2 linked regions of the Bombyx mori genome follow. The protein of the gene in region 2 binds, or shares a complex with, the protein of the main gene of each other region. Links are inferred from orthologs where the notes say so. Each region holds a gene or a part of one and is shown on either strand. Other genes may lie near its edges. The genes, in order: regulator of nonsense transcripts 1 and regulator of nonsense transcripts 2.

What was found.
Region 1: the proteins of regulator of nonsense transcripts 2 (region 2) and regulator of nonsense transcripts 1 are in contact, whole or in part, in a crystal structure (PDB 2WJV), measured with the Homo sapiens proteins. The link is inferred for Bombyx mori from reciprocal best matches to the Homo sapiens genes UPF2 and UPF1. Residues at the interface, in NP_056357.1 of Homo sapiens: Val1105, Cys1107, Glu1109, Asp1110, Phe1113, Ile1114, Ala1116, Leu1117, Met1120, Met1121, Asn1124, Leu1125, Arg1128, Met1169, Pro1170, Phe1171, Val1172, Met1173, Leu1174, Thr1175, Gln1181, Lys1184, Leu1186, Asn1187, Val1188, Pro1189, Ser1192, Gln1193, Leu1194, Asn1197; in NP_001284478.1 of Homo sapiens: Asn150, Thr151, Ser152, Gly153, Val157, Asn158, Leu160, Val161, Arg162, Lys164, Lys166, Pro175, Leu176, Gly177, Thr179, Tyr184, Cys188, Asn190, Val191, Phe192, Leu193, Phe196, Pro198, Asp202, Ser203, Val204, Val205, Val206, Leu207, Cys209.

What each region holds. Positions count from the first base shown.
Region 1 is NC_085127.1:8,621,143-8,624,530, reverse strand, and holds the end of regulator of nonsense transcripts 1, read right to left. Parts: coding exon 2,112-3,388; 3' UTR 741-2,111; downstream 1-740. UniProt on the Homo sapiens protein: RNA-dependent helicase required for nonsense-mediated decay (NMD) of aberrant mRNAs containing premature stop codons and modulates the expression level of normal mRNAs.
Region 2 is NC_085110.1:14,020,854-14,025,231, forward strand, and holds the start of regulator of nonsense transcripts 2, read right to left. Parts: upstream 2,902-4,378; 5' UTR 2,729-2,901; coding exon 2,033-2,728; intron 1,147-2,032; coding exon 934-1,146; intron 1-933. UniProt on the Homo sapiens protein: Involved in nonsense-mediated decay (NMD) of mRNAs containing premature stop codons by associating with the nuclear exon junction complex (EJC).

The sequences.
Region 1 (3,388 bases), on a different chromosome or scaffold from region 2:
ACTCAACTACTGCATATAAAATCTATGTATTATCGGCCGTAGATAACACTATTTATATTTTTGTTCATTAAAAAAATAGTGCATAAAACGTGGCAAAAATGGAGTCTCGTAATAATATATTTATTTCTCTACGAAGATCTGCGTTTTGACTACGAAATTATGTGAAGCACATTTAGGTTGTGATTGTAACGTTTTATACAGTATGAAGATATTAGATATCCATGAATTGTCTTGACTACTGCTATATGCTCAAATAAAATATATTGCATTTAACATCTGATACTTGAAAGGTTTCAAACAGATCATATAAAGACAAATGAATATTCTTAGTATTTATAGTTAACATACGATTGCGTCTTTAGACTGTAAGCTATATTGAGCGGGGAACTAATGAACTGTAAAAAAGTGACGCACTGATTTTACAATTAAATTTTCTTTTCATAAAAATTTATTAGTGCCTTTTAATAAAAAAAATTATTATTTGTAGTGCCAATATTGTCAGCTTTACTAATGCAAATATGTGATTAGTTATGCTATTTAAGTATTACATTTAAGTACTTACGCATTTGGATTTTCTGCGATGAGCTCAAGGCCTGAAGTTGGAATTGCGTAAAGCCTATTTTTTTAATAAGCAAAATATTTTATAATCACCTATTAATTTATAGTTATATTGGGCATTTATATACTCATTTATATTGTAATTTTATTTACCCTTATTAACGGAAATAAATAAAAACATATACAAATTCTTGAATTTTTATTGCATTTCCTTCACAAAAACACATAACAAAAATCTTTCATTAAACAATGACAGATGATAAACAAATATTCACGAAACACTGAGGGTGTTAACAAAATTCTGTATCACAAAAGTAAATCGAGTGAAATTGAATGAAGGACATAAAATTTATATGAATTCATTTTAAAAGACAGATTTAAACATATTTCAGTTAACATTCGACGTCTTTATTTAGATTTTAGTGTACTTTTAAACAATTATACATAAAAAACTAATATATAACACAAGCTATCTAAGGTGAAGTATCCTTTTTGTGAGAGGTGATGATAGATGGAGGATGTTTGAAGATTTTGTAACAATTCATTATAAAATCTAGTTTAAAGTAAGAGTCACTAATACCAATATACGGATGACCAGAAACTAACAACAGAAGCAGTTGGAATTATGTATTTGTCTTGTTTTATGTTCTTTGTGATTAAAAAGAAATTCTTATGTTTAGTGAAATTATGCACAAAATTATTGCTTGTCATATGTATTAATTTTTATATTTTTGTTTTGTGACAACGACAGATGCACGAGTACATTTTATATGATTTTTGTAGAAGGAAAAACAATTACAAGTGAACATGATTTTTTCAGACGAAATTTAGTTTTGAAATAAATGTCAACGATCTATGAAGAACTTTTCACGAATGATAATGATTGTGGAAAAATAATAACCGGAATCTAACACCGTTTACTAACTTGATTATGAAATTTTAGATTTCCTTGAATTTCTATTTGTGAAATGGTATCGATAATGTATTCGGTGATGAAAGCATCGAGTTCACAATTGACCAAAATCAAGTGAGACTCGATTTATGAGATGCAATTTGGTCGACTAAGAAAATTCGTTTTTGCTTCCTCGTTTTTTTTTGCTCGCATGCTGCTTTTATTATTTTTGTTGCTTATGTAATTTACATAAAATACTAAAAGTTTTTTTTTTATATAACGAAATGTTACTTTGCTGATTGAAATAATTAAAGAATTTCGATAATACATTTTGTCGATTTAGATGATGAAACGGGTAAATGTCGATTTCTATTTTCTAGGCGTACAAGATAAATCATTAAAGATTTCCTTACGCCACAGGTCAAGGGGATAGACACGGCAGCAGTCGGGTTTTCCGTTTATTTCTGTAGTCGGACCTCCAATGAATTTCTATCCCTGTATGCGGTAACATTTAGCCCGCGCGTGGACCGCGAGGGCTCGTTTCGCGCTGACACATTTTCCAAGGTCTGAGTTTCCACTCGCGAACACGGTCGACGGGCGAAGACTAACGTTCCGGTCGGGGCGGGTCGTCTCGTCAGCGCCGCGGCCGCGTTCTCCGCTCTCAGTACTGACTGCAGCGTGCTCTGAACCCGCCCTGGTACGTAGAGTCCTGCGACAGCAGCCCGTCCGGTTGCGACGGACACTCCGGCGCCGTGGACTCCTGACTGAAGTCCGGTTGCGATGCGCCCTGCGACAGTGAGAGCGGCGGCTGCTGCGACAGGGGCTCCTGCGAGAAGCGCGGCGGGACGCGACGGCGCGGCATGCGCGGCGGCAGGCGTTGAGTTGGAAAGGCGGCTGGCGGCACCGGCGCATGTAGCAGGGCGCCGCGCTCCGGCCCCACGTACGCCAGCGGGTCTCGCGGAGGCCGCGCTCGGTCATAGATGGAGCCCGGCACCATGGCTTCACGCGCGTCGAACATCGAGGTGGACATGAAATGGGAGCCAGGATTCTGAGAGTTCACCAGCTTCTTCGGTTTTGCGAACTGAATGGCGGATTCTTTCAGATTCGAAAGCGGTCCTTCGGTAAGTACACGGCGCTCTTTGTAGAAAGCGAGCAAGTGATTCCAGAGCGGCTGTTTACTGAGCACTTTCGGATTGCCGACGACGATGAGGCCGTATTTGGCGCGCGTGAGAGCGACGTTAAGACGTCGCGGATCGCTCAAGAAGCCAATTCCTTGGTGTTCGTTGGACCGCACGCAAGACATAATTATGATGTCTTTTTCCCTCCCTTGGAAGGCATCGACGCTGGCAACCTCGATTTCTTGGTACAGTTTAGCATGTAGACTGCCCTGGTACTGCATGTGCTGCACAAGATAGGATCGTTGTCCCTCATAAGGTGTTATTATACCGATCTGCTCGGGACGGACGCCTGCTTTTAAGAACCGAGTTGTGAGTTTTTCAACATTCGCAGCTTCAGTTCTGTTTAAGTACGAAGTTCCGGAGCCGGCGATCTCTTCCTGTCCCTGAGTGACGTAAAAGAACATGGGCCTGTCAGGTCTGGGCCACGGAAAATCGATTTTGTGTAAACGCCTTTCTTCGGCGCTGACTCCATTCTGCAAGGACCCTTCGTAAAAGAAGTCTGAAGGAAAACGTGAAAGTTCAGGATGCATGCGGTACTGTACTTCGAGTCGGAACGGACGGATTCCGAGAACGACCAAACGTTCAAAAAGACTCTGGCTGAGACCGGCTTTTGCAGCTTTCTTACACATTACCACGGGACCGAGTTGACAGTGATCACCGACTAGAATCAACTGTCTGGCTCCTAGAACTACAGGCACCATACATTCTGGCTCGGTCGACTGCATGCCTTCATCGATCAAAATGGACTGGAATCTCATAC
Region 2 (4,378 bases):
ATGGGTAGACGAGCTCACAGCCCACCTGGTGTTAAGTAGTTACTGGAGCCCATAGACATCCACAACGTAAATGCGCCACCCACCTCGAGATATGATGTCTATGGTTTCAGTATAGTTACAACGGCTGCTCCACCCTTCAAACCGATTCGCATTACTGCTTTCACTGCAGAAATAGGCGGGGTAGTGGTCCCTACCCGTGCGGTCTCACAAAACGTCCTACCACCAGTATTAATCAATTTATGCTTAATCAAATTATGGTAATTGTAAGATATCATATACTTTATAGAAATTTATGCTATTCAAAGAAAGCCAGCCAATACTATTCAGTCTGTTAAATGATGTGCAAAATTACAGATTATGAAAAAGCTCACAAACATTATTTTTAAATTTATCTCAGATTGTATTTTTCAGCTATCACAAAAAAAAAACTGGGTATAAAATTGGTTTAATCTATTTTATAATTATATCTAAATATATATCTAATTTATAATAATAATTCATTTATTATTTTAATATGTTATTCGGTCGGTTTATAATTAACTGAATGGATAATCTATGTCTCATAACTTCTGATAGCTTTAGATGTACCTGGAGTAAAAGAGAATGAGGTAGGTATAGGTTTTTTTATCGCCTTTGTAGCCAGACAAGCATACAGCCCACATGTTGGTGAGTGGTTACTGTTGCTCATGGACTTACTGTATACAATGACCATAAGAAAAACTTTACCTTTGTTAATTAATAATAGGAACATGTTGATTAAATTAATAAAATGGAACAGTCTTTAAACTGCTCATTTTGTCATTTTAACACTGGCTTCATGATATAGAAATATGAAAATTCAATTATACCAGAATCAGACAAAAGTTAGAAGATAGGAAGATATTATTGCTTAAAATTACAAACTTGAAAATTTAATATTAAATGTAAGCCTACTTGATGTTGTTCTAATTGTTCTTTTCTTTCTTGTGAGAGTTCTCCTCTGGTGTGCAGAGTCCTCTGATTTGCTGCATGCAGAGCTTGAAGTTGAGCTCTTTCCGCCAGCAGATGTTTGGTTAGTGAAAGAAAGTAATCTTTCAAGAGAGTTCTAACTGCTGTTTGTTTCTCTGCCGGTAAAAATGTATTTCGAGGAACAGGAATATTATGTTTCTGGAAAATAAATGTTTTGCTCTTTATTTATTACAAACTAAGCCATTCCATCCTAAATGTTACTTAATACTACACATATGCATATAAACGAGGGATTCCCAAACTTAGTTTTATCTACTGCCCACTTTGAGAATAAATTATTTTTTAATGCCCCATTTTTTCACCTACTTAAAAACCACTATCACTTCAAATTCAATTAATTATTGCGAGCTATATTAGTTGTTATTCATTCTAAACGAGACTTTTACCTCAAGAGTTAACTTGATACCTGAGCACAGTAGGTAGTACACAACACCTGCCAATGAAAATGATAATTGACGCACAACTTTATAATGTTCTGACAGATTTCTTATAAAAAAATAAAAATAAAAATCGATTCTAAAATAAGAACTAAGGTGAAGGATGAATCTAATGCTGTTTAATAAGTTTGTTGATATCAGGTTCCCATTTATTCAAAAACAGTCAATCAAACAGTCAGTCAAAATCAAGTCCTCGCCTTCGGTAACATACAAACGATTTCTCTTTTTAGTAAGCAGTGTTGCCACAGCATTAATTTCACGTTCACACAAATATAACGATGGGAATGCTATCAAGAATCGTTGAACATTGACCACACATTGTCAATTCTATAAGTTCTTCTTCTATAACTGTTATGTGTGAAACCACAAATAAAAATAAAATAAGTATTACGTTGTTTATATAGGACTACTTAAGCAACACACCAATTATATTTAAATATAAATTATCAACATATTCATTTTTTCTTTTCTTAATTTGATAAATTAATTTTTTATTTACTTTTATTTAGTACTCACCTACATTAAGAAACAATAATTAGCTGTATTTACTAATAAATAAAAGAATAGCTGATAAGAAATCAACTTACCTCAGAAGCTTCTCGTATTTTTCTAGGCATAAGTCCAGCATAATCATCACCACAGTGTTTGCAAAATGATAACAAAATTGGTATATTGTTATGCTCTTCTTTGTCCATGTTTATTAGAACAGTTAATACATTACCCAGCAAAGGCAATCCAGTTTTATTCATAAAAATACCGACAGCCACTAATTCTGCATAAAATCTTATATCCACCCGCAGTTTTGATGAATTTGTTATTTTATCAGTCGCTTTGAATGTTAAAATCTTTTGCCAGTTTTCAAAAAAGTTAGATGAAAAATCAGCGTAAGTACGATGAAGAACTGAACATAGAGTTATAGCAGCAGGAATATCAGACATTTTCAATTTTGCTTCTGCTATTGCAGCAGCCACTTCTGATATATATTTTGTAAGATTTAATGTTGCAAAATCTTTCAAAAGTACATCCAGCTGAGAAGCACTAAATGATTTTAGTTTTTTTACAAATGTGGTATTCTTTTTCAAACCTGAATCTAGCTTGGAAAAATAATTTTCTGGTGGTCGAGAGCAATTCAAATTTTGATTACGTATTTCATATTTTTGTTTCAATCTGGCTTCCAAGTTAGCTGTATACTCTTCGAGAGCCGCTTTCTCATTTTCTTCTAAATCTTTAAGCGGTTCTTCAATAGGTGTTTCGTTTGCCTCATCGTTGTTGGTGGCAGTCATTTTATCTTTTAGATAGGTATTATTTGAAGCCAATGGACACCACTATATGGTGTGAGCAACTTTCTTTTGCATTTATTAACTCAGCAAATCACATTTAATTCATTTAAAAATTTACAAACATTTGGGTAAGGTGTCATAAATATTATGTGTATTATCTTTTTTTTAAAGGGATTTTATGACCTGGTAACTAAGACCTTTAAGTCATGTCTTATTTTAATTTATATTCATATTTTTATGAAAAATGATATTATGCAGTGAAATGAAATGAAGATTATTAATCTGAGACATTAATCAACTGGGATGAAATCATAGAGTTACTATTCTAACTGGAGTGCTTACTTCGTTTGACATAAAAACTAAAAATATACTTTATCTCTATGGCTTAAAGTTTATTTTTAAATAGCAAAAGATGTAAGGAAAAACGGTCTGAAAAGAGAATGATTATTAAGTGGTGGTGTCCCTCTCGCACATTTTACAAACAAAAAGCAGTGTTGCTAGCTTAGAGGATTTTCCATAAAATCTCGGAATTTGGACCCCCGTCTTAGTTATCAAAAATGGCTTTTAGTGGTTAGTGGATTTTTTAGTAGCTTGGGCGTTGTTGAAAATTATTGAAAAGGTTAAAATCAATCCACTTTACAGGATTTTAAACATTTTATGACAATAATATATCTAAATACATATTATTTAAACGATGTGACTTAAACTTAACTAGAAAATATTGCGACAATTTAGAATTTCCATCAACGTCAAAAATTAAATTGGTTCAACATAAACGTACAAAGTTATGGTGAATTTATTTTCTGATGATGACAATTTATTAAAATAAATTATATAAGAAGTATTGATTATATGATATATATTGATTTTTAATAGAACATCATATATTAATAAAGCTCATTAACAAAAAAAATATTGTTCTATATTAATAAGAACTCTGTTTAATGGAAAATTTTATGGTAGGTACGTAGATTTCTGATGGTTTTCATGTTGAATTTGGTGGGAAGCCAGATTAATTGTTGGCATCACCGAAAAAGAGCTATGAATGGATTAAAAGAAAAATGGCGTCTATTTACGTTTGTAGTGCGAAGTTAAAATGGCACTGATACAGCTTGTGGCTTGTTTTTTTTTCGAAAATCGTGAAAGTTTCCGTGTAATCATGGTGAACACTTTTAATATAAGTGGTTTTAAGCGAGAATCCTCTCCAGTTTGTGGAATATCCTTCCATATGTCAGATTCATTGATAAAATTTTTACTAGTGTGAGCATATATTTTTAAAATGTGAGATATATTTTCTCATTATAATATTTAATACCATTTGTCTTGTAAATTGTACTTAATCTATGTCATATACTAAATTTGAAAAAACAATCGTGAAAACTATAATTTTGCAATGTATTTTTCATATTATAAGAGCCATCACGTGGTATTTCTTGAACTTTTTTTATTGTATTGAATAGCGTCGCACGCAAGCATGTATATCATTTGCCTGACGTTAAGCGAACGAGGAGGATCTTCTAGTAAATATGACTTTGGAATTTCTGGAAAATGTCCTTTAAAAAGGTCAAACAAGAAGAATCAAGTACTCAAACGCAAGAAAAAAAAAATACCCCGAGAAAAGCAAAATTACGACAAGATGTTAAGGTATTGAAA